Macaca mulatta: one gene and its partners. The protein of the gene in region 1 interacts with the protein of each later gene in a pairwise test. Links are inferred from orthologs where the notes say so. Each region holds a gene or a part of one and is shown in the gene's direction. Other genes may lie near its edges. The genes, in order: HTT, AP2A2, ERCC6L, JAKMIP1, SP3, TRIP10 and H2AP.

The links.
Region 2: the proteins of HTT (region 1) and AP2A2 interact in a two-hybrid assay, tested with the Homo sapiens proteins (2 studies listed by BioGRID and IntAct). The link is inferred for Macaca mulatta from reciprocal best matches to the Homo sapiens genes HTT and AP2A2.
Region 3: the proteins of HTT (region 1) and ERCC6L interact in binary tests that used the Homo sapiens proteins (3 or more experiments, as listed by UniProt). The link is inferred for Macaca mulatta from reciprocal best matches to the Homo sapiens genes HTT and ERCC6L.
Region 4: the proteins of HTT (region 1) and JAKMIP1 interact in binary tests that used the Homo sapiens proteins (3 or more experiments, as listed by UniProt). The link is inferred for Macaca mulatta from reciprocal best matches to the Homo sapiens genes HTT and JAKMIP1.
Region 5: the proteins of HTT (region 1) and SP3 interact in binary tests that used the Homo sapiens proteins (3 or more experiments, as listed by UniProt). The link is inferred for Macaca mulatta from reciprocal best matches to the Homo sapiens genes HTT and SP3.
Region 6: the proteins of HTT (region 1) and TRIP10 interact in binary tests that used the Homo sapiens proteins (3 or more experiments, as listed by UniProt). The link is inferred for Macaca mulatta from reciprocal best matches to the Homo sapiens genes HTT and TRIP10.
Region 7: the proteins of HTT (region 1) and H2AP interact in binary tests that used the Homo sapiens proteins (3 or more experiments, as listed by UniProt). The link is inferred for Macaca mulatta from reciprocal best matches to the Homo sapiens genes HTT and H2AP.

Annotation. Positions count from the first base shown.
Region 1 is NC_133410.1:3,307,755-3,311,254, forward strand, and holds part of HTT (huntingtin), read left to right. Parts: intron 1-547; coding exon 548-628; intron 629-2,302; coding exon 2,303-2,643; intron 2,644-3,500.
Region 2 is NC_133419.1:881,384-884,883, forward strand, and holds part of AP2A2 (AP-2 complex subunit alpha-2), read left to right. Parts: intron 1-845; coding exon 846-954; intron 955-1,629; coding exon 1,630-1,780; intron 1,781-3,297; coding exon 3,298-3,466; intron 3,467-3,500. UniProt on the Homo sapiens protein: Component of the adaptor protein complex 2 (AP-2). Adaptor protein complexes function in protein transport via transport vesicles in different membrane traffic pathways.
Region 3 is NC_133426.1:78,744,552-78,747,728, reverse strand, and holds the end of ERCC6L (DNA excision repair protein ERCC-6-like), read left to right. Parts: coding exon 1-2,330; 3' UTR 2,331-2,677; downstream 2,678-3,177. UniProt on the Homo sapiens protein: DNA helicase that acts as a tension sensor that associates with catenated DNA which is stretched under tension until it is resolved during anaphase. Functions as ATP-dependent DNA translocase. Can promote Holliday junction branch migration (in vitro).
Region 4 is NC_133410.1:6,836,288-6,840,255, forward strand, and holds the start of JAKMIP1 (janus kinase and microtubule-interacting protein 1), read left to right. Parts: upstream 1-1,168; 5' UTR 1,169-1,458; intron 1,459-3,968. UniProt on the Homo sapiens protein: Associates with microtubules and may play a role in the microtubule-dependent transport of the GABA-B receptor. May play a role in JAK1 signaling and regulate microtubule cytoskeleton rearrangements.
Region 5 is NC_133417.1:78,864,131-78,868,267, reverse strand, and holds the start of SP3 (transcription factor Sp3), read left to right. Parts: upstream 1-1,337; 5' UTR 1,338-2,036; coding exon 2,037-2,043; exon of another isoform or gene 2,044-2,357; intron 2,358-2,657; coding exon 2,658-2,806; intron 2,807-3,321; coding exon 3,322-3,444; intron 3,445-4,137. UniProt on the Homo sapiens protein: Transcriptional factor that can act as an activator or repressor depending on isoform and/or post-translational modifications. Binds to GT and GC boxes promoter elements. Competes with SP1 for the GC-box promoters.
Region 6 is NC_133424.1:7,608,440-7,611,939, forward strand, and holds part of TRIP10 (cdc42-interacting protein 4), read left to right. Parts: intron 1-160; coding exon 161-328; intron 329-583; coding exon 584-693; intron 694-3,500. UniProt on the Homo sapiens protein: Required for translocation of GLUT4 to the plasma membrane in response to insulin signaling. Required to coordinate membrane tubulation with reorganization of the actin cytoskeleton during endocytosis.
Region 7 is NC_133426.1:37,817,750-37,820,900, forward strand, and holds H2AP (huntingtin-interacting protein M), read left to right. Parts: upstream 1-1,347; 5' UTR 1,348-2,118; coding exon 2,119-2,472; 3' UTR 2,473-2,651; downstream 2,652-3,151.

The DNA of each region.
Region 1 (3,500 bases):
GTATTTTTAGAACTTTCAAGTGAAATATTATTTCATCCTTCCAGATCATATAATGCTTGAGTTCTGATTGTTAATCATAAAGTCAAGAAAATTAAAAGATAATAAAATGAAAGTGACTTTTAGGTGTTAGAGTTTTATGTACAAATTCTGGTGTGTCATTGGAGCTATCACATGAATATTTCAAAGGCCAATAGCATTGGGTCTTTACAGTTAAAACTTACTATTTTTAAGTTTAAGTAGTACTATAGATTATTTAATAATTGAAATCAATAAATATTAATTATTAAAATGTTTTGTGGTATACTTTGAGAATCATTGCTTTTAACTTTTTCCATATAGGTTTATTAACTTTAATAGCATTCTAAACATAACATCTCTACATTCTTTGTGTTTAATACTGTAGAGGTATAAAAATACTTATATATGATGATAAACCATATTAGAGTAAATTAAATATTCTTATGAGTTTCATTTTAGAGTGCATTTACTTAATTTTGAAATCCTTATTTTTAGCAAACTAAAGGAATGTTGGTACATTATTTACTAGGCAAAGTGCTCTTAGGAGAAGAAGAAGCCTTGGAGGATGACTCTGAATCGAGATCGGATGTCAGCAGCTCTGCCTTTGCAGGTAGTTCTCACTAGTTAGCCACTGGTGTGGACCTTCACTCTCTGCCGTCCACCCCATGCCCTTCCTGCCCGTCCCCCTGCACCTGGTGGACAGCACAACTGGGGGCAGCAGTGGACCCAGGTTGCTTAAATGGGGGATATTTGGGCTTCTTTCATAATACTTACTCTGAAGCTTGTGTGTCTGTGGTGTTTGCATCATATATTTGCTGTTTTCTGTGGTTTAGACTGTTTTAAAATTAGGTTTATGCTCCTTGAGCATAGGGCTTTGTGAGTAGGGATGGCACGTCGAAACGTCTCATGAGTTGGATGGGTTATGCTGGGGGTTGGAAATGGGATGAAAAATTGTGGGATGAAAAATTGCCTATGGATAGTTTAACTTGAAAGAATCTGCCTTTGTTTACAGATAGTTATCTTTTTTTTTTTTTTTGAGATAAAGAGTCTCACTGTGTCACCCAGTGCTGATACCCAATGTCACTGGCATGGAGTGGTGTGCTCTTGGCGCACTGCAGCCTCCGCCTTCTGGGTTCCAGCCGTTCTCCTACCTCAGCCTCCCAAGTAGCTGGGACTACAGGTGCCCGTCACCACGGCTGGCTAATTTTTGTATTTTTTGTAGAGACGAGGTTTTACCATGTTGACCAGGCTGGTCTTGAACTCCTGAATTCAAGTGATCCGCCTGTCTCAGCCTCCCACAGTGCTGGGATTACAGGCGTGAGCCACTGTGCCTGGCCAGTTACAGATAGTTATCTAATGAAATTCTCTGTGTACTTTATAAAAGATGAGGATTAATTTAAGGTACTAATAACTGGATTATATGAGGGTGGTTTTGGTTGTATAATCCTATCTAAAAGAATATTTTAGCTGTAACTGAAAGTAAGACTTAAATATTTAGGGAGGAAAATCTGAATAATTCTAGTAGTAATTATTTACAAAATAAAAATAGATTTTATTTTTGATTACACAAATTAAACAACAATAAAACATCACAGCGATCTAGACTAGTATAAAGGTCACTTGCTTACCAACCCAACCGCCCCAGGAGTGACCACTGCCAACAGCTTCGTGTTGACCTTTTTGCCATGATTTCTATATAGTCTTTTTTGTTTTTAAATGGTAATTAAAAAAGTCAACTAGGAAAATGTGTTAGAAGTTTATCTTCCAGGAGAATAATAGGACTGGAGTCGAGATCTTGAACGTGGCTTGGAAGAAGGCAAGCCCACCCCAGAGAGATTACAGTTGTTCGTGACCACTGCTTGCTTAGAGGACCTGCGTGTCTGGGACCGCCTAGTTTTGTGCCCCTGACTAGGCTGCCCCTTAATTATGAACGTCTTTATAAATTGCCCTAGCCAGGGCTTGGAGTAGTTGGTTAAGAACTTGAACTTCAGTTTTTGCAGTGAAACACCGTTTGAGAATATTACCTTCTGATAAGCCTTATTTTATTAAGATGGGTACTGTAGCGAGAGGCAGTGTGAGTGGTACATGAGGGATGCACTGCTGTCCTGCATTTCACTGTCTTCAGGATGCTATGCAGTGATGACATTTGGAAACATTTCATCAAACATTCCATCAAATGGAAACATTGGATGACAGTGGAACTTTGTGTTATTTTGCAAGCCTTTGATTCCATATTGAATGTTTTCTCTCGCCATTTGACAAATGAGTGTTTCTCTGTCTTCAGCCTCAGTGAAGGATGATATCAGTGGAGAGCTGGCTACTTCTTCAGGGGTTTCCACTCCAGGGTCAGCAGGTCACGACATCATCACGGAGCAGCCACGGTCACAGCACACGCTGCAGGCGGACTCAGTGGATCTGGCCAGCTGTGACTTGACAAGCTCTGCCACGGATGGGGATGAGGAGGATATCTTGAGCCACAGCTCCAGCCAGGTCAGCGCCGTCCCATCTGACCCTGCCATGGACCTGAATGATGGGACCCAGGCCTCCTCGCCCATCAGCGACAGCTCCCAGACCACCACCGAAGGGCCTGATTCAGCTGTCACCCCTTCAGACAGTTCTGAAATTGTAAGTGTGCGGAGGGGCCTGCCATCTTTTATTTTTTATTTGAGACAGAGTCTCACTCTATAGTGCAGTGGAGGCCGGGCACAGTGGCTCACGCCTGTAATCCTAGCACTTTGGGAGGCCGAGGTGGGCAGATCACTTGAGGTCAGGAGTTCGAGACCAGCCTGGCCAGCATGGTGAAACCCCGTCTCTACTAAAAATACAAAAATTAGCTGGGTGTGGTGGCACATGCCTGTAATCCTAGCCATTAGGGAGGCTGAGGCAGGAGAATTGCTTGAGCCCAGGAGGCGGAGGTTACAGTGAGCCGAGATCGTGACACTGCACTCCAGCCTGGGTGACAGAGCGAGACTCCGTTTCAAAAAAATAAAAATAAAAAAATAAAGTGTAGTAGCACGTTCCCAGCTCACTGCAACTTCTGCCTCCCAGGCTCGAGCGATTCTCCTGCCTTAGCCTCCTTAGTAGCTGGGATTATAGGCGGGCACCATCACACACAGCTAATTTTTGTATTTTTAGTAGAGATGGGGTTTCACCATGTTGGCCAGGCTGGTCTCAAACTCCTGACCTCAAGTGATCCACCCATCTTGGCCTCCTAAAGTATTGGGATTATATTTGTGAGCTACCATGCCCAACCCTACTGTCTGCCATCTTTTGAGCTCTTCCCTGGAGACCCAGACCTGAACCCTCCTGCTTGTTCTCTTCTTGTCTAATACCCCTAATGACAGCGCAGCTTAGATCACTAGTGGAGAGCTTGACCTCATCTGATACCTTCACTGAAGGGAACAGCTTAGTGTCTTTTCCACTGAACACTGAGGTAAAAAATTGGAATAGTTGATTATGTGAACTCTGCTAAAATTGAGTGC
Region 2 (3,500 bases), on another chromosome or scaffold:
GAGAGACAGCTCATGTTGGCCGTGTCTCTGTCTCGGAAGTGCTGTGATTCTTGCCTTTCCTGCTTTGTGTTTGTGCCTTTCAGCCCTGTCTTTGACAGACAGCCTAGAACTTGCCTCCCTGTAGCAGGAGTCTGTGACCCAAGTCTGGGCTGGCATCTTGCAGCTTAGGGCAGGAGTCAGGGTGAACTTTTCTAAATGGGTTCACTTATGGCCTAAAAGTGTCGCACATGTGAGCTTTGTAGGAAGGGAGGAACTACATTGACCTCCCAGAAACAGGAGACACTGGGCTGTATGTCAGTGGAAATGTGAGGTGGTCGTGATTGTCACTTGTTCGGGAGGTTGACAGAGGATCTGCCAAGCCAAAGGCCGCATTGGACAAAGAGATGGGATGTGAGTGAGGCGGGCAGCCTCCCTGCCTCAGCGAGCTCACCATCTGGGTTGACCTGTGGTCGGGGGGAACTGTGGGGTTGTGGGGTAGGGTCAGAATGCCGGCTTCTGGGGGTGGGGGTGTGCTTCTTCCTTCTGAGGAGCCTAAAGCTCTCTCTTTCGTTTCATTCATGTTCTGGTCCACAAAGGAAAGACTGTAGTTTCAAATCCAGGTGCTATGGTGTCTTGTACCGAGTGAGGGTTGCCACTCAGCTGCGGCAGCGTGTTGCCAAGTGACAGCACAGCCCTCTCACAGCGAACCTGGGGGTACCAAACAGTGTCAGACGCTCCTGGCACATGAAACAAAACCATTTTTCCAGCTCAGGCATGACCCGAGGAGTGCGTATGGCTTTTCTTTGGGTCCCTGCAGCGGGGGCTCATGCCCAGCAGCGTGTCTGATTGCCTTTGCTGTCTTACAGATCGTGACGTCCGCATCAACAGATCTTCAGGATTACACTTACTATTTTGTCCCGGCTCCCTGGCTGTCTGTCAAACTGCTGAGGCTGCTGCAGTGCTACCCACCCCCAGGTAACGCGCAGGCCGCGGCTCCTGAAGCTGCACTAGCGCCGGTCTGATTCCCTGTCTCAGATTTAAGTGGTTTGTTTATTATTTTAAGAAGTGTGTTACTAGCCCTGCCTCTTGATTCATCGACCTTTCTGCCAGTGCTGCCATATGCGCTGGCTTTTGTGGAGCAATTATTGCAGAGCCTACAGTTTTGTTAGGGTTTGGGTCTATTGTGCTTTTATAGTATCAGATCTGTGCAGGTTTTCTTTGAGACGGAGTCTCCCTTTGTTGCCCAGGTTGGAGTGCAATGACGCGATCTCAGCTCACCACAACCTCTGCCTCCTGGGTTCAAGCGATTCTCCCGCCTCATCCTCCTGAGTAGCTGGGATTACAGGCACCTGCCATCATACCCAGCTCACTTTTGCATTTTCGTAAAGACGGGATTTCACCATGTTGGCCAGTCTGGTCTTGAACTCCTGACCTCAGGTGACTGGCCTGCCTCGGCCTCCTAAAGTGCTGGGATTACAGAAGTGAGCCATTGTGCCCGGCCTTTCTCAGTTTTGTAAATGCTCCCAGCTGGGTACACAGATGTGAATGAACTATATTAAAAATGCTCTCATGATGTATGGGTACAGCCGGGAGGGGCAGGGTGGGCTGTGGGCCACTGGAGCCTGGTGAGCACCATTCTGTCTTGCCCAGAAGACCCTGCAGTGCGAGGCCGCCTGACTGAGTGCCTGGAGACCATCCTGAACAAAGCCCAAGAACCACCCAAGTCAAAGAAAGTCCAGCACTCCAATGCGAAGAATGCCGTGCTCTTCGAGGCGATCAGCTTAATCATTCACCATGACAGGTGTGTCGGCCGCCTGTGGAGCGAACTTCATCTTGCGCACGCACACATGTTCCTTCTCGTTGGCATGACTGGGCTGATCATGTCTAGTTAGTTTGTCCACTCCACGGGCCTTCCCTTCGTCCTGCCTGTCTGCTCCCTGCTGGACCCTTTTCTTTCCGTGCAGCTCGGCTCATCCTCCTCTGAGCTCACCATGAATTGCTTTGCTGACTGTGGTCTCATCCCCCAAAAGGGCCTTTTCCTCCTTCTCCTGAGCATCCCCACTCCTGACTGGCTTCTCGTGTCATGGAACGGAGAGGAGACGGGGATGGGGTGGGGGGCATGTGCACATGTCCTGTGACTTTGCTGGGCATAGAGCCATACTTGGTGGGTCCGGGGTCCCAGGGCAGTGCTGGAAACGGCTGTGCCCATCTACACAGCACAAGGCACAGGGTGAGTGACTGGCCGCTCCACACAGCCCGGAGGGTCTGCCTCCTCTGCCCCCACCACACAGCCCGGAGGGTCTGCCTCCTCTGCCCCCATCACACGGCCCGAAGGGTCTGCCTCCTCTGCCCCCACCACACGGCCCGGAGGGTCTGCCTCCTCTGCCCCCACCACACGGCCCGGAGGGTCTGCCTCCTCTGCCCCCACGACACGGCCCGGAGCGTCTGCCTCCTCTGCCCCCACCACACGGCCCGGAGGGTCTGCCTCCTCTGCCCCCACCACATGGCCCGGAGCGTCTGCCTCCTCTGCCCCCACCACACGGCCCAGAGCGTCTGCCTCCTCTGCCCCCACCACACGGCCCGGAGCGTCTGCCTCCTCTGCTCCCACGCCTTTTCTGCTCAGCAGTTGTGGTGCACTGCATGTGGGCTGGCGTGGGTCTTGCGTGTGGTGCCGTGCTTTAGGGTCCTGTGAGAATGAGATTGCAGCTCCCACCAGGCTCCCGATAATGAGGAAACATGCCAGGCTGTGGGCAGACGCTCTCTACAGCTAGTGAACACCACCCATTTGCTACTACAGCATTTTTACAAATGATGAAAACTCAGTCTGAGAGAGCTGGGAGCTATTAAAAGTGAAATTTCCCATTTTAGAGAAAGCTCTGTTGTTATGTGAGGAGAAGCCACGTTCTGAAGAGACAGTAGAGTGAGTGGGGCAGCAGCCACGCTCCCAGCCTTCTCAGCCTTCTCCCTGCCCCGGGCTGGTGCCTCTGGCTGAGACCCCATTGCCGGTCACAGCTTGACCGGCCTCCTGCGAGCCTCATGCAGATTGAGGCTCAGGAGGTGCTGGGAAGCTCCAGTGGATGCATGGGCTGCTGACTGTCACTGGGGGGATGAACAGAATGGACGCAAAACGGAAGTCAGGGGTAGGGGTCAGGTGCATCTGGGGAGGCTCCCGAGTTCCCACTTGAGCAGTGCGGTGGCGGTGAGTGTGGTGTGACTTTGCTATCTGCCATCTGGACCCGTTGGGGAACGCAGGCTCTGTCCAGTTTGTGTCACACTTGCTGAGGAAACCGCCCCCCCATTTCCCCTCCCTCCATGCAGTGAGCCGAACCTGCTCGTCCGCGCCTGCAACCAGCTGGGCCAGTTCCTGCAGCACCGTGAGACCAACCTGCGCTACCTGGCCCTGGAGAGCATGTGCACGCTGGCCAGCTCCGAGTTCTCCCACGAGGCTGTCAAGACACACATCGAGACTGTCATCAACGCCCTGAAGGCGAGTGCCCTGTCCTCGGGGTCTGCTCACTCCC
Region 3 (3,177 bases), on another chromosome or scaffold:
ATCAAACTCTGGTGTTTTCTCAATCGAGGCAAATTCTAAACATCATCGAACGCCTCTTAAAGAATAGGCACTTTAAGACATTGCGAATCGATGGGACGATTACTCATCTTTTGGAACGAGAAAAAAGAATTAACTTATTCCAGCAAAATAAAGATTACTCTGTTTTTCTGCTTACCACTCAAGTAGGTGGTGTTGGTTTAACATTAACTGCAGCAACTAGAGTGGTCATTTTTGACCCTAGCTGGAATCCTGCAACTGATGCTCAAGCTGTGGATAGAGTTTACCGAATTGGACAAAAACAGAATGTTGTGGTTTATAGGCTAATCACTTGTGGGACTGTAGAGGAAAAAATATACAGAAGACAGGTTTTCAAGGACTCATTAATAAGACAAACTACTGGTGAAAAAAAGAACCCTTTCCGATATTTTAGTAAACAAGAATTAAGAGAGCTCTTTACAATCGAGGATCTTCAGAACTCTGTAACCCAGCTGCAGCTTCAGTCTTTGCATGCTGCTCAGAGGAAATCTGATACAAAACTAGATGAACACATTGCCTATCTGCAGTCTTTGGGGATAGCCGGAATCTCAGACCATGATTTGATGTACACATGTGATCTATCTATTAAAGAAGAACTTGATGTGGTAGAAGAATCTCACTATATTCAACAAAGGGTTCAGAAAGCGCAATTCCTTGTTGAATTTGAGTCTCAAAATAAAGAGCTCCTGATGGAACAACAAAGAAATAGAAATGAGGGGGCCTGGCTAAGAGAACCTGTATTTCCTTCTTCAACAAAGAAGAAATGCCCTAAATTGAATAAACCACAGCCTCAGCCTTCACCTCTTATAAGTACTCGTCATACTCAGGAAGAAGATATCAGTTCCAAAATGGCAAGTGTAGTCATTGATGATCTGCCCGAAGAGGGTGAGAAACAAGATCTCTCCAGTATAAAGGTGAATGTTACCACCTTGCAAGATGGTAGGCACCCATATGAAGGTACATGTAGTGCTGACTCTATAGCTACTTTACCCAAGGGGTTTGGAAGTGTAGAAGAACTTTGTACTAACTCTTCATTGGGAATGGAAAAAAGCTTTGCAACTAAAAATGAAGCTGTACAAAAAGAGACATTACAAGAGGGGCCTAAGCAAGAGGCACTGCAAGAGGATCCTCTGGAAAGTTTTAATTATGTACTTAGCAAATCAACCAAAGCTGATCTTGGGCCAAATTTAGATCAACTAAAGGATGATGAGATTTTACATCATTGCAATCCTTGGCCCATTATTTCCATAACAAATGAAAGTCAAAATGCAGAATCAAATGTATCCATTATTGAAATAGCTGATGACCTTTCAGCATCCCATAGTGCACTGCAGGATGCTCAAGCAAGTGAGGCCAAGTTGGAAGAGGAACGTTTAGCATCTTCACCACAGTATGCATGTGATTTTAATCTTTTCTTGGAAGACTCAGCAGACAACAGACAAAATTTTTCCGATCAGTCTTTAGAACATGTTGAGAAAGAAAAGAGCTTGTGTGGCTCTGCACCTAATTCCAGAGCAGGGTTTGTGCATAGCAAAACATGTCTCAGTTGGGAGTTTTCTGAGAAAGATGATGAACCAGAAGAAGTAGTAGTTAAAGCAAAAATCAGAAGTAAAGCTAGAAGGATTGTTTCAGATGGCGAAGATGAAGATGATTCTTTTAAAGACACCTCAAGCACAAATCCATTCAACACATCTCTCTTTCAATTCTCATCTGTGAAACAATTTGATGCTTCAACTCCCAAAAATGACATCAGTCCACCGGGAAGGTTCTTTTCATCTCAAATACCCAGTAGTGTAAATAAGTCTATGAACTCTAGAAGATCTCTGGCTTCTAGGAGGTCTCTTATTAATATGGTTTTAGACCACGTGGAGGACATGGAGGAAAGACTTGACGACAGCAGTGAAGCAAAGGGTGCTGAAGATTATCCAGAAGAAGGGGCAGAGGAAAGCAGTGGCGAAGCCTCCAAGTATACAGAAGAGGATCCTTCAGGAGAAACACTGTCTTCAGAAAACAAGTCCAGCTGGTTAACGACATCTAAGCCTAGTGCTCTAGCTCAAGAGACCTCTCTTGGTGCCCCTGAGCCTTTGTCTGGTGAACAGTTGGTTGGTTCTCCCCAGGCGGCAGAGGCTACGAATGACTATGAGACTCTTGTAAAGCGTGGAAAAGAACTAAAAGAGTGTGGAAAAATTCAGGAGGCCCTAAACTGCTTAGTTAAAGCGCTTGACATAAAAAGTGCAGATCCTGAAGTTATGCTCTTGACTTTAAGTTTGTATAAGCAACTTAATAACAATTGAGAATGTAACCTGTTTATTGTATTTTAAAGTGAAACTGAATATGAGGGAATTTTTGTTTCCATAATTGGATTCTTTGGGAACATGAAGCATTCAGGCTTAAGGCAAGAAAGATCTCAAAAAGCAACTTCTGCCCTGCAACACCCCCCACTCCATAGTCTGGTATTCTGAGCACTAGCTTAATATTTCTTCACTTGAATATTCTTATATTTTAGGCATATTCTGTAAATTTAACTGTTGTTTCTTGGAAAGTTTTGTAAAATTATTCTGGTCATTCTTAATTTTACTCTGAAAGTGATCATCTTTGTATATAACAGTTCAGATAAGAAAATTAAAGTTACTTTTCTCAAGTGTTTTCCATCCACTTTGTTTCACTGAGATGATACTGGCAGAAGCCTGTCATTATCAGTCTAGATCTTAAGACATGCTTGTGAACATGCTGTTTCATGTTTTCAGCTTAATACAGGTGGAGCATCCCTAATCCAAAAATGAGGAAACTTTCTGAGTGCTGACATGATGCCACAAGTGAGGAAAGTTCCATACCTCATGTCATGTGACATGTCACAGTCAAAATGAAGGTGTACAACACACTGTTTACTCAGCATCCCCAAGGGAAAAGAGATTCTGTAAGCCCCCTTCAGCTACTATATATCCTTTCCACACAGGCCCAGATTCTCCCATGCAAGCCTGCCTACAAAGGGCAATAAAATGGTTCAACATACACAAACTTTGTTTCAAGCACAAAATCATTAAAAGTAATTATAAAATTACCTTCAGACTTATGTATATAACGTGTATATGAAACATAAATGGATTTCGTGTTTCGACTTGGATCCCATCTCCAAAATAT
Region 4 (3,968 bases), about 3.5 Mb from region 1:
ACAGAGCCCCACTGACAGAGGAAGGATGTACCATGTAGCAAGACACACCAGGGAGATTTGGGTTTGGTTGTTACTGTGGCTAACACAGCTTATCCTGACTGGTGCAGTTTAAAAAATATCAATCTGACCATAGTCCATGGGACCACCTTCCAGGCGAGACAGTCTCCAAACTCTGCCCAGCCTGCAAGACCTTGCAAGCGCTGCCCCTCTGTGCCCCCACGCCCCATCTTCCACACTCTCCCTCTCATCATTCTGTGGCCCAGACACTTTTATCAGATTCTCAAACATGTCCCGTTCCCTGCAGTCAGGGTGTTCCCCCACGCTGCTCCCTTTGCTGGGTGCTCTTCCCTCCCTTCTCCTTGCTAGAAAGTAAGCTCTGGTGGGCGCCTCTTCCTCTCTGCTGTTCACTATGGTGTCCCCACATCTTCTTGACTGCCTGGCACACAGTAGGTGCTCAATAAATATTTGTCTAATGACACTGAATGAATGTTTGCCCAGCTGAGTCCTGCCCCTCCCAAGTCTCAGCTCGACAGCACATCGTTCATTTGGCTATGACCTGGTGATGTGGCTTTGCTGGGGGCAGCCTGGGCTGGTGGGGGCAGCTCCCTAGGCTGGCATATGTCCAGTTCTGCCCCTTGCTGGCTCTGCCGACTTTAGCGTGCGCTTTAACCTCTGACCTTCAGACCTCTCATCCGTACAGAGGGGGACATGGATCTCCGGGGTCGCTGCGTCTTCCTGACCACTGACGGCCAGGACGGCCCCAGCCCCGCTTTACCTGCAAGCTCCACGCCAGGCTCGAGCCCCCGAGGGTAGGGATAGCTTCCCGAGGCCCGAGCCTTGACCAGAGCCTGAAAGCTCCTCCCGGGGGTTGCTCCGACTCAGCGAGACGCCAGGGTGCCCGGCGCGGCTGAGGGCGCTCAGCGCCGGGACCCCAGCCCTGCCCGGGCCGGCCGCTGGCCTAGTGCGCACGCTCCGGCAGCTCCGCGCCCCCTCTCGCGGCTGCAGAAGCTCTCCCAGAGTCTGCCTGGGGCGGGGGCGGGGGCGGGGAGGGGCGGGCGCCTAGCCCTCCTGCCTGACTGGCAGGAAGACAGACCAATCGGACGGGCTCCCTAGGGAGGGGCGGGGCCGTGCCGGAGCCGGGCGCCGGCGACCGAGGGAGCTGCAGCCACCCGCGTGCGGCACGCGCCGGCCGCCTGCCCCTATCGCGGCCACCAGTGCCGCGGCCTCTCGACTCCCGCCCCGCCGAGCCGCGCGCGCGACTGCCATCCTCCTCAATTGCTTTTTACGATTTTTTGTGCATGCATTCATTTTCTGTTCCGTTTTGTCCTTTTTAAGGCGGTGGCGGCGGCGACACCGGCGTAAGCTCGCAGCGGGGAGGGGGCGGCCGGAGGATGCGGCGCGGGGCTGCGCTCGCTACGCCCGCTGCTGCTGCCCGGCTCGGGCCTGAGCGCCGAGCAGGTGGGTACAGGTGCGCCGGGGGGCGGGAGGAGAGGCGCGCGCAGGCCAGAGAGAACCCGTGGACCCGGCGACCGAGGGGCGGACCCGGCGGCGAGGGACGCGGCGACCGGTGCCGCCCCGCCCCATCGTCCATCTCCCCGTCCTCCGGTCATCGCGCCCCCTTCGGGTCCCCCTTCCACTCTCGCATCCCACCTCAGCGTTCCCCCACCCTTCCGTACCCATCCCCCACTCCTCTTCAGACCCCCTTGCAAAATCTCCCAGCCGCTGCGTCGCTTCCCCCAACACCCCCTCCCGGTTCCGCCCCCAGCCCCCAGCTCTCCTTCACGCCACCCCTATTTCCACTCCTCTCCGGATTCCGCCCCCAAGCCAAGGAGCGGGAGGGGGGACCCACCCGGTGCCTGCCGGAGTGGCCTGGGGGGTGTGGCCGGCCGGTCCCCTCGGTGTCTTCCGCAGGGTAGGTCGTAGTCCCCCAGATCCCCGCCCAGGTGGCAAAGAAGATGGAGCTGGGGGCCGCGCCCCGGCGGCGGGGGGCCCGCGGGCGAGGCCGCCCAGCCTGCACTCCACCCCACGCACCGCACACGCCGCCGCGGCCCCTGCCACGCACACCCTCGCGCTGCTCCGCCCACGTGGGCGCCGGGGAGGAGGCTGGAGAGATGGGAAGAAAGGCTGGCACCCACCCTCCTGCCGGCCCAGCGCGCCCTGGGCGCGCTGGGCTCGGAGATGGCGCGCAAGGATTGACTCCGGTGGTGCCAGACACCTTGCCGGGCGCCGTGCGTCGGGGCCAGCGGCCTCGGTGGCCTACGTCAGTGCGCGCGCGGCGGCCTCGCCTCCCAGCTCCTAGGTCCTTCGCTCCATCCCCCCTACTGTGGGCTCCTGAGGATCCGGCCAGGGCAGCCCAGATAGAGGCCGCTTACGAGGCTGGCTCTTCTTTTCGCCTTAGAAGCATCCCGCTCCCACACACCCCAGCTCGCCGGTCTCCTGAAGGCTGGGCCAACCTCGGCTCTCCGCCAGCCTCTGCCCGGCTCTCTGAGCTCCAGCGATACTGTATCTAACCGCCAGCCCTCCTCCGCCGCTCGCCCCATCTGCGCACACTCGCAGGCACACTGTCCTTGGCCTTTGCCCGTGTTGTGCTCTCTCCGGGAACGCCCTAACTTCGGCTGGCCAGCTCCTTGTAGACCAAGGTCAGGGAGATCCCCTTGCCCCTCCTGAGCTTTCCTGGACCGCGGAGCTGTCCCAGGATGCTGTTACCATCTGACGGCCTCTGCCTTCCAGAGCAGAGGAGGAGGTGGGGAGGAGGACAGGGGCAGCCTCAGCCCCTCTCCCAGGGCTCCACCCACAGTGAATGTTGGGCATAGCAGGGACATCTCCCCTAAGTCAAAGCAACCCGCTGGTGTGGAGGGCGAGGCCATGGGAGGAGTTGGCCCTTCCTCTAGCAACCTGGGCTTGTGGGTGGTGGCTCCAATAGCTGGGATGGGCAAGGAGGAGGGACACATTCGAGGATGGAGTGGGGGGATTAGGATCCTTTCCTAGCAGGGCACTGTCACCCTCCTGGAGATCTGCGGGTCTGCACAGACTGATGTTGCGGCGCACAGTGGAGGTTTGTGGCTTGTTGCAAGATTTTTGTTGCTGAGATATGTACCGGTTTGTAATGCTGAACATCTCCGCTCTGGAGTCTGGGGTAATTCTTACCTGGAGTCTTTTTGCAGTAAGCCGCTCCCAAAGGATCACAGTGTGGACCCAATGCATGAGATGACTGGCATTTTCTTCCTTCACAAACCACCTATGACTCCCACTGCCCCCACTACCTCACCAGTTCCTTCCATCCTGACTTCCCTGGCCCATCTCTCCCCTCTTCCTGCCACGATGTCTCAGCCACGCCTGCTGCCTCTGTGTTGTGTAGACATGTCTTCACACTTGGGTTTTTCCCCACATGCTTTTTTTTCACCCCCCTCTCTAAAACAATGCTCCCCTCCCTTGTGTATCTGGAGAACGATTCATGATAAAGTCCAGCTCTTAGGTTCCATCACTGTGATTTTCCAAGACTCTACCGGAAAGATTGTGTGGTTCTCTCATTGTGTTCTCAGAACTTTTCATACACGTCCAGTGTGATATTTGTTTGTATAGTTTTTCCTTAAGCAGATCTTGCCCACTAGAGACTGGGGACACGGGACACGGGACACAGTGAGGTCACCTGAGAGATGGTCCCACTTTGGTCGGGGCTCTGTTTTCCTAGGGAGATGGCCACACAGACACTGCCCGTGCTGTCAGAGAGCCATGTGCAGGGAGAGGGGGACAGGCCCCTGCCTTGGCCCAGCCAGGAAGGCTGCCTGAGGAAGTGGCAGGACCGTGGCCCCACTCTCTTGGTGTGTAATGGTGGACTGGGCTGTGGGACAAGTGGCAGAGGGAACAATTTCTAGTCCATAAGGCAGCAGCAGTTGCCACTGCAGGCTGTGGCTCTCTGTTTAACTCCTCGAGGGTGGGACCTTGCATCTCTTCAGGCTCTGAGCCAG
Region 5 (4,137 bases), on another chromosome or scaffold:
ATGCCTAAAATATCCTTTCTAGGGAAAGAGCTACCTTCCACCCAACAGATCCAGGTAGGAACAGAGTGATAATAGTGACTTCCCTTCCTCTCTCCCAGTCTACTTTTCACTTTTCACCTGTCCTGCTCTTCAGGGCACCCATCTCTTTTTCCCTTCCCCCCACCCCAAATCAGGTTATTTTGTGACTTTTATTTCCTTAAAAGTTTTTGTTGTAAAATAGTACACAGGTTATACCATTCAACTTTGAAGTTATTTTTCCAATTAAATGAGACTACAAGGTCTTACTATTAGGAGAGATGAACCTTATTCTTGGACTCAGAATTTTGAGTCTCGTTTCCGCATGTTTGTGGTTTTTAGGTCAATTCCCTAGAAATTCGATCTTTGTACAATTAAGAGCAAAGTAACCATACAATGTTTCTGATCCTGTGAGCATAGGCGGTTAACTGCTTTGGAACTGGGATGCAAACTCGCTATCTCACAAATGGATTACCTATTAAGTTAGTACACACAAAATCTAGTTGAAGTGCTTCACAACCTCATCCACCAGCACATCATCACATATCACACAAAATACAATCATCACAGTAATGGGAAAACTGATTCTTGAGCCAGATTTCTAAAAAAGAGGTATTGTGGACAGTGTTTCCACCTCTTGAATTTAACTTCTTTGTTGGCAACTATACTTGAAGGTAACAGGGAGAGATATCTCTTAGTTGGCAAAACACAGACATAAAACCTCAGCATTTTCCCCCAGGATGACAGCAAGATATCAAGGTTGCCAAAGAAGGAAGGAGTTTTAACCTAATCCAATGAGTGAAACAAGATTTTAAAATACAACAAAAATGTTCCAATGGGGGAAAAAAGGTACTTCACCAGTTCACGACTTTAAAAACGTTGGCAATGGTTGATGGGCTTGTTTCAGGAGATATCTGACTTGGTACCAAGAGGATTAAGAGGCTGGGGATAATACGTTTGTGCAGCAAAATGATTATGTGACTGACTTTTTAAAAAAACAGTATTCTGCCCCATTGGATACATACACATACCACAGGTAAAATGAAATATACTTTTAAGTGCCCGTTTTGGTGCCACTGGCCAAAATTAAAACTCTCCTTCCGTATGTGAGGTGACTTGAAATTTTTTTGCTTTAAATGCCTGCCTTCACGGTACGTGAAAGTGGGAGACCGGTTGGAAAGCTGGGGCTAAGGGGGCTGGGAGCGAGATGGCTGTCTGTGAATCAGAAAGCTGGATGTGTGTGAGAAAAATCCTCCTCCAGCCTCGGAGGGGGTGTCTCCCCTAATACCAGCTCCCTCCCCCCGGGCTCGTGGGGCGGGTCTGGTTTGCTCAGTAGCGGCAGCGGCCGCAGCAGCAGCCCCGGGGCTGAGCGGCGGTGCCCTCCTGGCAGCTCAGGCAAGCGGCGGCTCCAAGAGCGCGAGGCCCTGGGGAAATCCGGCCGAGGCTGCTGCCGGGATGGAGGTAGCCTCCAGTGGAGCCGGAGTCACCGGGGACGAATTTCCTCCCCAGCTCAGCTCCCCTACAGCTTGGCTAGGCCTGCTCCGAGCGCCTGCGAGGTGGAGGAGGCCTGCGCCTCGGGCCTGGCAGCGGCAGCCGGCGAGAGAGGCGGACACAGCGGGGTAACCGGCGAGCCGTAGCCGCTCTCGGAAACCTACGCTGCCACGGCCGCTCATTGTCTCGCCCCTTCCACCCGGGGGGCAAACAGGAAGCGCGCCGCCTGGCACAGCGACGGACGGGCGCCTGGACCAATGAGCACATCCGACGGAGAACACGGCGGCGAATGAGGGCCAAGAAGAGGGGCGGGAGTTCCGGGCAGGCTGTCACCCTCTTCCCCCCTTTTGGGCTGGAGGCTCCACCTTTTGTGTTTCCCGCACAGTCAATCAAAATAGGAAAAAAAAATCCCCGGACCGCTCCGGCCGTGTCCGCCGCCGCTTCCCGCATCCTCTCCCGCCGCCGCCGCCTTCGCTCCTCACCATGTGTAAGGCGGCGGGGAGCCCCGCCTGAGGTGCCCTAAACACACTATGACCGGTACGTAAAGCCGAGAGAGCAACCCTTGCTGCTGCCGCCGCCGCCGCTGCCGCCGACCACAGCCAGCCCGGGGCCGCTGCCGCCGGTCCTGGCCCCGTGTGTGCGACCGAGTGTCTGTGAGAGGCAGAAAGCTGCACTCCCCTGCGCCTCCCTCCCCTCCCCGCCAGCCACCGTCCACCCCCGAAGCCCCAGCAACGCCGTCTCCCCGCCAGGCCCCGGGGCGGGCGGCCCGGTCCGCCGGGAGCGCATCCCCCTGTGTGCGGGCGCGGGCGGGCGTGTGTGAGTGACTGACGGTGCGAGAGGAGCGAGCGCGAGTGAGAGCGAGCGGCGCGAAGGGAAAGGGGAGGAGAGGAGAGGGGGCAGGGGCAGCGCGGGGAGGAGGAGGAGGAGGGAAAGAGGAGGAGGAGGAGGGTTACAGGCAGCGGCGGGCGGGGGCAGCAGCAGGAGGGGAGGAGGGAGCCGCCGCCGCCGCCGCCGCCGCCGGGGGGCGGGTGGGGGAGGGGAAGGGGCCTGGGTCCGGGCTTTGGGAGTAATTTCGCCTCGGCCCGCGGGCCCCCTCCCTCTCCGCCACCCGCCTTCCTCCCCACCCCCACCCCCCCGCGCTGTGCCTGCAGCTCCCGAAAAGCCCGTGAAACAAGAGGAAATGGCTGCCTTGGACGTGGACAGCGGCGGCGGCGGTGGTGGCGGCGGCGGCCACGGCGAGTATCTGCAGCAGCAGCAACAGCACGGAAACGGCGCGGTGGCGGCGGCGGCGGCGGCCCAGGTGAGGAGCGGCTGAGCCCCGGCCCGGCTCCCCCCTCGCGCCGCTTTCTCCTCCCCTCGCCTCTCCCCTCCCTCCTCGCCTCACCCCTCCCTCCTCGCCTCTCCCCTCCCCTCCCCACCCCTCCCCTCCCCCCGCCTCGGGAGCTGCCCGCCCGAGGCGCCAACGCTCCGACCCCGCCCGCGACGCCCCGCCCCGCCCGCCTGCCGCCTTTTTGTGCGCGTGTGAGTGTGGGCCCCAGCGTGCCCTCTCGGGGGTGGGTTCCGGGCGGAAGGCGGAGGCCCGGCGCGCTAGCCCGCCGCCCGCCTGCCCGCAGACCGGGGAGCCGGGGTTCGTGGAGCGGGGGACGCCAGGCGGGGGCCGGCGGCGGGACCAGGAGGAGGAGGAGAGTGCGGGTTGGCGCTCGCCCGGGCGCAGTCGGCGGGGATCGAGTCGCACTTCCTGTGCGAGCGGCCGCCCGGCCCTAACCGCCACCCCCTCCCCCTGTCTCCCTCTCTGAACCCGCCCATTGGGGGTAGGACACTCAGCCGTCACCGCTCGCTCTGCTGGCCGCTACCTGCAGCAAGATAGGGCCGCCATCGCCGGGCGACGACGAGGAGGAGGCGGCCGCCGCAGCCGGGGCCCCCGCCGCCGCCGGAGCGGTAAGTCCCGCGCGCGGCCCGCCCCCGCTGAGGCCCGGCGCCCGCCATCCGGGGCCCGTAGCGCGCCCGCCCAAAAGGCCTCCCCGGCGCCCGCGCTTCTCCCGAGCCGCACGGGCCGCTGGGCTCCAGGGCGCCCTTTCCTGCTCTTTCGCGTCCCTGTTTGGATTTGAAGCCAGCCCAGGCTTTCTCGAAATTGTCACTGCGGCACCTCGCGCAAAATTCTTCACAAAATGAAGTCTGAGAGGGCGGGGGTAGAGGACTCCAAAATGGATGTTTGAGCAATTCCTATCAGTGCTGAAAACTCCTTCGCTGAACACTACAAAATTTTCAAGCACAGCCTATCGGCCATAGATAGTATCAACTAGAAGGAGTGTCTTTAGTTTTTAGTATTTTTGAAACTGGAGCATTTTCTGTTGGAAGTTACAGGATCTTACTGTTTTAAATCATACATTATTTTTAAAAAATGGGGGTTTATTATTTGAATTATCCTTTTGTATGCAGGAGTGAACACTTTTTGCTTTTTTAGTGACCATTCAAAATCGTTGATTTTTAGTTTTTGCAGACTACTTAAATTTGCAGTGAGTTTTTTTTGTAAGGGGCGTAAGTGAAACATTTAGCAGCCTTTGAAATTGGCAAGTTGCTTAGATAGTACTTTATCTTTTGAAATTGAATATGACTATCAGTGTTAGAAAA
Region 6 (3,500 bases), on another chromosome or scaffold:
TTCTTACCGTTTTTTTCTTTCTCCATTTTGTTTTTCCTTTTTTCTTTTCGCGTCCATCCGTCCATCCGTGCATCCATTCCTCCGTCCATTCGTCCTCATTTTCTACCTCCTACACCCCCCTACCCCTTCAACTATCCCCCTCCCCGGCCCCCTCCGGTAGCCTCGCCCCCCACCCCTCTCCCCCCTGGGGGGTCCCGTACCCTCGGCATTGCCTAACGGACCCCCGTCCCCCCGCTCCGGCCGTGACCCCTTGGCCATACTGAGCGAGATCAGTAAGTCGGTCAAACCGAGGCTAGCATCCTTCCGCAGCCTTCGAGGCAGCCGTGGGGTAAGTGAGGCCTCGGGGCAGGAGAAGGTGGTGGCCCTAGCCTGCCCAGCGGCGGGTGGCGGGACCCTGGGCTCGCTTCCTGCCGCTGGCTGGGCCCCTCTTCCCTGGTTGCCCAACCCAGACCCGCTTTGCTTTGTGCATGGCCTCGCTGCCAAGAACCATGGCTGGGGAAGGAAGTGAAATATCTCAGAAGGGTGCAGAGTCTGGCAGCCTAGACTCCTTGATCCCAAATTCAGCCCTCTACCCACCTTGCAGACAGTGGTGACCGAGGATTTTAGCCATTTGCCCCCAGAGCAGCAGCGAAAGCGGCTTCAACAGCAGTTAGAAGAACGCAGTCGTGAACTTCAGAAGGAGGTTGACCAGAGGTAAGGTGGTGGGGTGGGGAAGGGCAGGCAAGGAACATGATAAAATAGTAGATGGTTTCCATTTATTTATTTATTTTTTAATTTTATTCTATTTTATTTTTATTTTGTGACAGGGTCTTACCCTGTTGTCCAGGCTGGAGTGCAATGCCATGATCTCAGCACACTGCAGTCTCCACATCCCAGGTTCAAGCAATTCCTGTGCCTCAGCCTGCTGATTAGCTAGGACCACAGGCATGCACCACCACGCCCAGCTAATTTTTATATTTTTAGTAGAGGCGGGGGTTTCCCCATATTGGCCAAGCTGGTCTTGAACTCCTGGCCTCAGTTGATCTGCCTGCCTTGGCCTCCCATAGTGCTGGGCTTATAGGCACGAGCCAGTGCCCTGGTCTGTAAATGAATGACATTTAAGTGGTACTCAAAGATCTCCCCAACAATCCCAAGGCCCTGACAGTTTTACAGGTGATTCCTACCACACTTACGAGAAACAGTTACTTCTTGGCCAGGTGCAGTGGCTCACGCCTGCAATCCCAGCATTTTGGGAGGTTGAGTCAGGAGGATCACCTGAGCCTAGGAGCTTGAGACCTGCCTGGGTAACAGAGACCCCATTTCTAGCAAAAATAAAAAAATTAGCTGGGTGTGGTGGTTTGTGTCTATAGTCCCAGCCACTTGGGAGGCTGAGGTGGGAGGATGGCTTAAGCCTGGGAAATTGAGACTGCAGTGAGCTGTGATTGCACCACTTGCACCTCAGCCTGGGTGTCAGAGTGAGACCCTGTCTCAAAAAGAAAAAAAGAAACAGTTACTTCTTGTCTTATACAAGTCATTCCAGCAAACAGAAAAAGAGTGAAAGCTGTCAGCCTCTTTAGGCTGACGAATCCTGATTCCCAAATCAATGGCCAAGAATTCAAGAAGATAAAATCGAGGGCTCGTTTTACCTTATTTATGATAATAGATGCAAAATCCTAGCCAAGCAAATCCAGTGTTTAAAAAATAATACATCACTTTGGGAGGCCAAGGCGGGTAGATCACTTGAGGTCAGGAGTTTGAGACCAGCCTGACCAACATGGTGGTCTCTACTAAATGGTTTGTCTCTACTAAAAATACAAAAACTAGATCAAGACCATCCTGGCTAACATGGTGAAACCCTGTCTCTACTAAAAATACAAAAATTAGCCAGGTGTGGTGGCGAACACTTGTAGTCCCAGCTACTCGGGAGGCTGAGGCAGGAGAATGGCATGAACCCGGGAGGTGGAGCTTGCAGTGAGCCAAGATTGCGCCACTGCGCTCCATCCTGGGTGACAGAGCGAGACTCCGTCTCAAAAAAACAAACAAAAAAAATACAAAAACTATCTGGGCATAGTGGCACGTGCCTGTAATTCCAGCTACTTGGGAGGCTGAGGTGGAGAATTTCTTGAACCTGGGAGGTGGAGGTTGCAGTGAGTTAAGATTGCGCCACTGCACTCCAGCCTGGGTGATACAGCGAATCTCTACCTCAAATAATAATAGTAATAATACATTAGCCGAGTGTGGTGGCTCATGCCTATAAGCCCAGCACTTTGAGAGGCTTGGTAGAAGGATCGCTTGAGCTTAGGAGTTCAAGGCCAGCCTGGGCAACACAGTAAAACCCCATCTCTTAAAAAAAAGAAGAAGAAAAACCCAAATAAATTTTTTTAAAAACAAAAAAAAAAAAAAAAAGAAAAAAGCCACCATTCGTTGGGTTTTATCCCAGTAATGCAAAGATGGTTCAATATCAAAAAATGTATCCATCTAGCTCACCACATTAATTGGCTAAAAGAAAAAAAAAGCAGCCTATGGTTATCTAACAGCTCAAACACTTAAAATATTCACAATAAAAAAATCTGCCAGATTAAAAAAAAAATCTTTACTCACTCTTTCCAAGCAACAAAATCCTCTTCCCAGTCCTGTTACATAATAGGAATGACGTTTGCCACTTGCAAACAGGCAGCCAAATTATATTTTGCCATTTGCATGTAACCTCTTGGACAGAATGGCTTTTATTGGTGTAAAGTTCCATTCAGAACTCTCTAGTTCCTGGGTTTCTACGGTGGAGGGATTAAGGGTGCATGTTCTAGAGTCACGACAAACTGAACTTGATTTCCAGCTTCATCTCTGAGGTCTTGGGCAGCTTGTTTCACCTTTTAATTCCTCAGTTTCTTCATCTGTAAAATGGGTCAGGTATTAGAACTGGAAATGAAGTTGGCCAGGTGCAGTGTGGCTTACACGTGTAATCCAAGCACTTTGGGAGGCCAAGGCAGGCAGATGGCTTGAGGCCAGGAGTTTGAGACCAGCTTGGCCAACGTATGGAAATCCTGTCTCTACTAAAAATATAAAAATTAGCCAGGCATGGTGGCGTGCGCCTGTAGTCCCAGCTACTCTGGAGGCTGAGGCACAAGAGTCACTTGATCCCGGGAGGCGCAGGTTGCAGTAAGCCGAGATTGCGCCACTGCACTCCATCCTGGGCGACAGAGTGAGACTGTGTCTCAGAAAAAGATAAAAAATAACTGGAAGGAAGTTGAGCTCAGATCTGGTCTTTTCCAAAGGTCTATTATAGTCATGACTACCTGTATGTACAGACATAGAGGAGACGGATGAGAAACTAATGATAATGATAACAGTATTTATTAGTCACTTACTGTATTCTAGGCACTATTCTAAACAGTGTACATGGATTTATTCGAATTCTCAAGTTTTCCTGAGAGATTGCATGCAGACTTAAGATCCTGTTTTGTTTAGTGTTATATTTATTTATTTTTTCCCCACCGCCTCCTTCCCCTCGTTTTTTTTTTATT
Region 7 (3,151 bases), on another chromosome or scaffold:
GCAGAAACAATGCCAGCTTAGACGGAAAGGGACAAATAGAGGAAGAAATGAAAGAAGGCCATAGGACTCCCAAAATTTGACAGGAGAAAGCAGGCTGATAAAACTACTCAGCTGTAAACATATGCTACCATTCAAAATAAAGGAACAATGACTGAGGGCAGAACCTAGAGGCCAGAGGGCAGATTTATGACCCCAGGTGAAGTCATAGGATCAGAGTGATCAAAGGGAGGAGTCTTAAGTCATAGAATATTCCCAGGCCTTGAAACCTAATGGTTGGATTTTGAAATTGTTTGGATTTAAGACTCTTTTGTTCTTTCTACTTTTTCCCCTATGGAATGGCAAAGTTATTGGCTGTAAATGAACCAAAGTCAAAGGGAAAACACAGAATTACTAGAAAGGAAAATTAAATAATAGAAAAGAAACATCTCTTAGTGCTTTTGCTTCACCTAGGAGAGACAAGAAATATACATCTGGGCTTAAACTGAGCACAAGATGCACTTCTCCGAGACGGGCGGATCACAAGGTCAGGAGATCGAGACCATCCTGGCGAACACGGTGAAACCCCATCTCTACTAAAAAGTACAAAAAAAAAAAAAAAACTAGCCGGGCGAGGTGGCGGGCGCCTGTAGTCCCAGCTACTCGGGAGGCTGAGGCAGGAGAATGGCGTGAACCCAGGAGGCGGAGCTTGCAGTGAGCCGAGATCTGGCCACTGCACTCCAGCCTACGCAACAGAGCGAGACTCCGTCTCAAAAAAAAAAAAAAAAAAAAAAAAAAAAAAAAAAAAAGATGCACTTCCCTATCAACTGTTTACCTGACACTGACAGGTAAACTTATTGAGCATCTTATTATTAATTGAAAAATGATTAAAATATATTTTTCAACCATTATGGAAAACAGTATGGCAATTCCTCAAGGATCTAGAACTAGAAATACCATTTGACTCAGCCATCCCATTACTGGGGATATACCCAAAGGATTATAAATCATGCTGCTATAAAGACACATACACATGTATGTTTATTGCAGCACTATTCACAATAGCAAAGACTTGGAATCAACCCAAATGTCCATCAGTGACAGACTGGATTAAGAAAATGTGGCACATATACACCATGGAATACTATGAAGCCATAAAAAAGGATGAGTTCGTGTCCTTTGTAGGCACATGGATGCAGCTGGAAACCATCATTCTCAGCAAACTATCGCAAGAACAGAAAACCAAACACTGCATGTTCTCACTCATAGGTGGGAATTGAAGAATGAGATCACTTGGACACAGGAAGGGGAACATCACACACTGGGGTCTATTGTGGGGAGGGGGGAGGGGGGCGGGATAGCATTAGGAGATATACCTAATGTAAATGACGAGTTAATGGGTGCAGCACACCAACATGGCACATGTATACATATGTAACAAACCTGCACATTGTGCACATGTACCCTAGAACTTAAAGTATAATAATAAAAAATAAAAATAAAAAAATAAATAAAATGCATTTTTCAAATAGGGTAAAATCATGACACTCATACAGATACGAAATGAACACATGCTACAAGAAAAAGATGTTATGACTGCTTCAAAAGGGAAACCAAAGAGTCGATATGGGAATATTCATCAGTAATATTAAATGATTGTGCACATGGAGGCAAAACTGGTTTCATAAGGTGAAGACAACTGAACCTCTACTAAAGAATATACTGTACACGTATCAGCCACCTACAACTAACAAAAGGCTATAAAAGACTTCACAGATAATGTAAGGCTAGAATCAGATAACCTGCAGTGGTGTCCTAAAGATAGAGCAAAGTTTTCCATTGAAACACACTTTTATTTTTATAATGTCAAAATCAGGTAAAGAGTTATAGTTCCCTCAAAATCAGGGTTCAGTCATTAGGGTGACTAGATCAGTGTCACAGACATTTCTAAGCTGAGGTCTGATCAGGGACCAGTGGACACCAGTGAAATCACAAAGCCTAGGGATGTCACAAAGGCAGCTAGCTCCCTGACCAATCAGGGCCTGGAGCAGAGGGATCCAATAGGCAGCACCAGCGTCCTCAGAGACTTACTTGAGCTGGAGAATCAAGCAGAGCTGATCAGAGCCAAACCCAGCAAATATCATGTCAGAGAAAAATAACCGTAAGAACTCCTCTGCAAATAACAACCAGATTCAAGACCGGTCTAGAAATGAGCTGCGGGTCCCTATGAGCTTCGTGGACCGAGTTGTGCAAGATGAACAAGATGCCCAAAGCCAGAGTTCCTCCACAATAAATATCCTCCTTACCCTGCTCGATTGCCTTGCTGACTACATCATGGAGCAGGTAGGCTTGGAGGCCATCAACAATGGCAGGATGCGCAACACTTCACAAGATGGGGAGAGAGAAGGGGACAACCACCATGAGCCCCACCGCACTGAGAGTGATGGAACCCGCTTTGTGTTTGATGAGATGCCCAAATCCGGAAAGAATGACTGAAGACTGGGTCCCAGAGCCTTGAGGGGATCCTCACAGGCTTAGCCAGGGCAAAAATGTGTCACAGCTGAGGAATATCTGCTGTTGTCATCAACAAGTGCTACTAAAGGATGTAAATCCATGAGTATGTTTCTGACTCCTTCCAGTTTCCGTCTTTTTGGGTTGTAGGTGTCTGTGAGACATCAAGGAGAAGCTATCCCCAGAGAGCTGAAGTTGGGGGGGGGGGCGGGAAGTGGTGGCCAGTGTGGAGTGTTTGAATCAGTGATTTAGAGGGGGCAGTTTCCAACGGTGACAGAGAGGGCACGGGCCCTGTGGGGAGGAACTGGCTGGGATAAAGACACCGAGACTTCCTAATTGCCTCTGAACAGGAAGGCCTTGTGAGGCCGGGGAGTTGGCTGGGGGCCTCTGAGGCTTGCTGAATTCCCAGCCTGATGCTGGGGCCTGGGGTGGAGCTGCAGACTCTGACTGAAGTGCAGGAGGCAGAGGGTGGTGGCCACAGGGGCGGGTGGAGAGGGGGCACACTGGCTGGCATGAAGTTCATGGGATAGGGACTTTACATGGAGATTGAGAGTGAAGGAGAAACCATGATGAAAAATGCAAAAAAGAAATGATGGCCTGCTGGATTTCATTTCTTATTTCTTTATGCCCTGACTTATTATGAAAGAGGATTTGAGACAGGGAT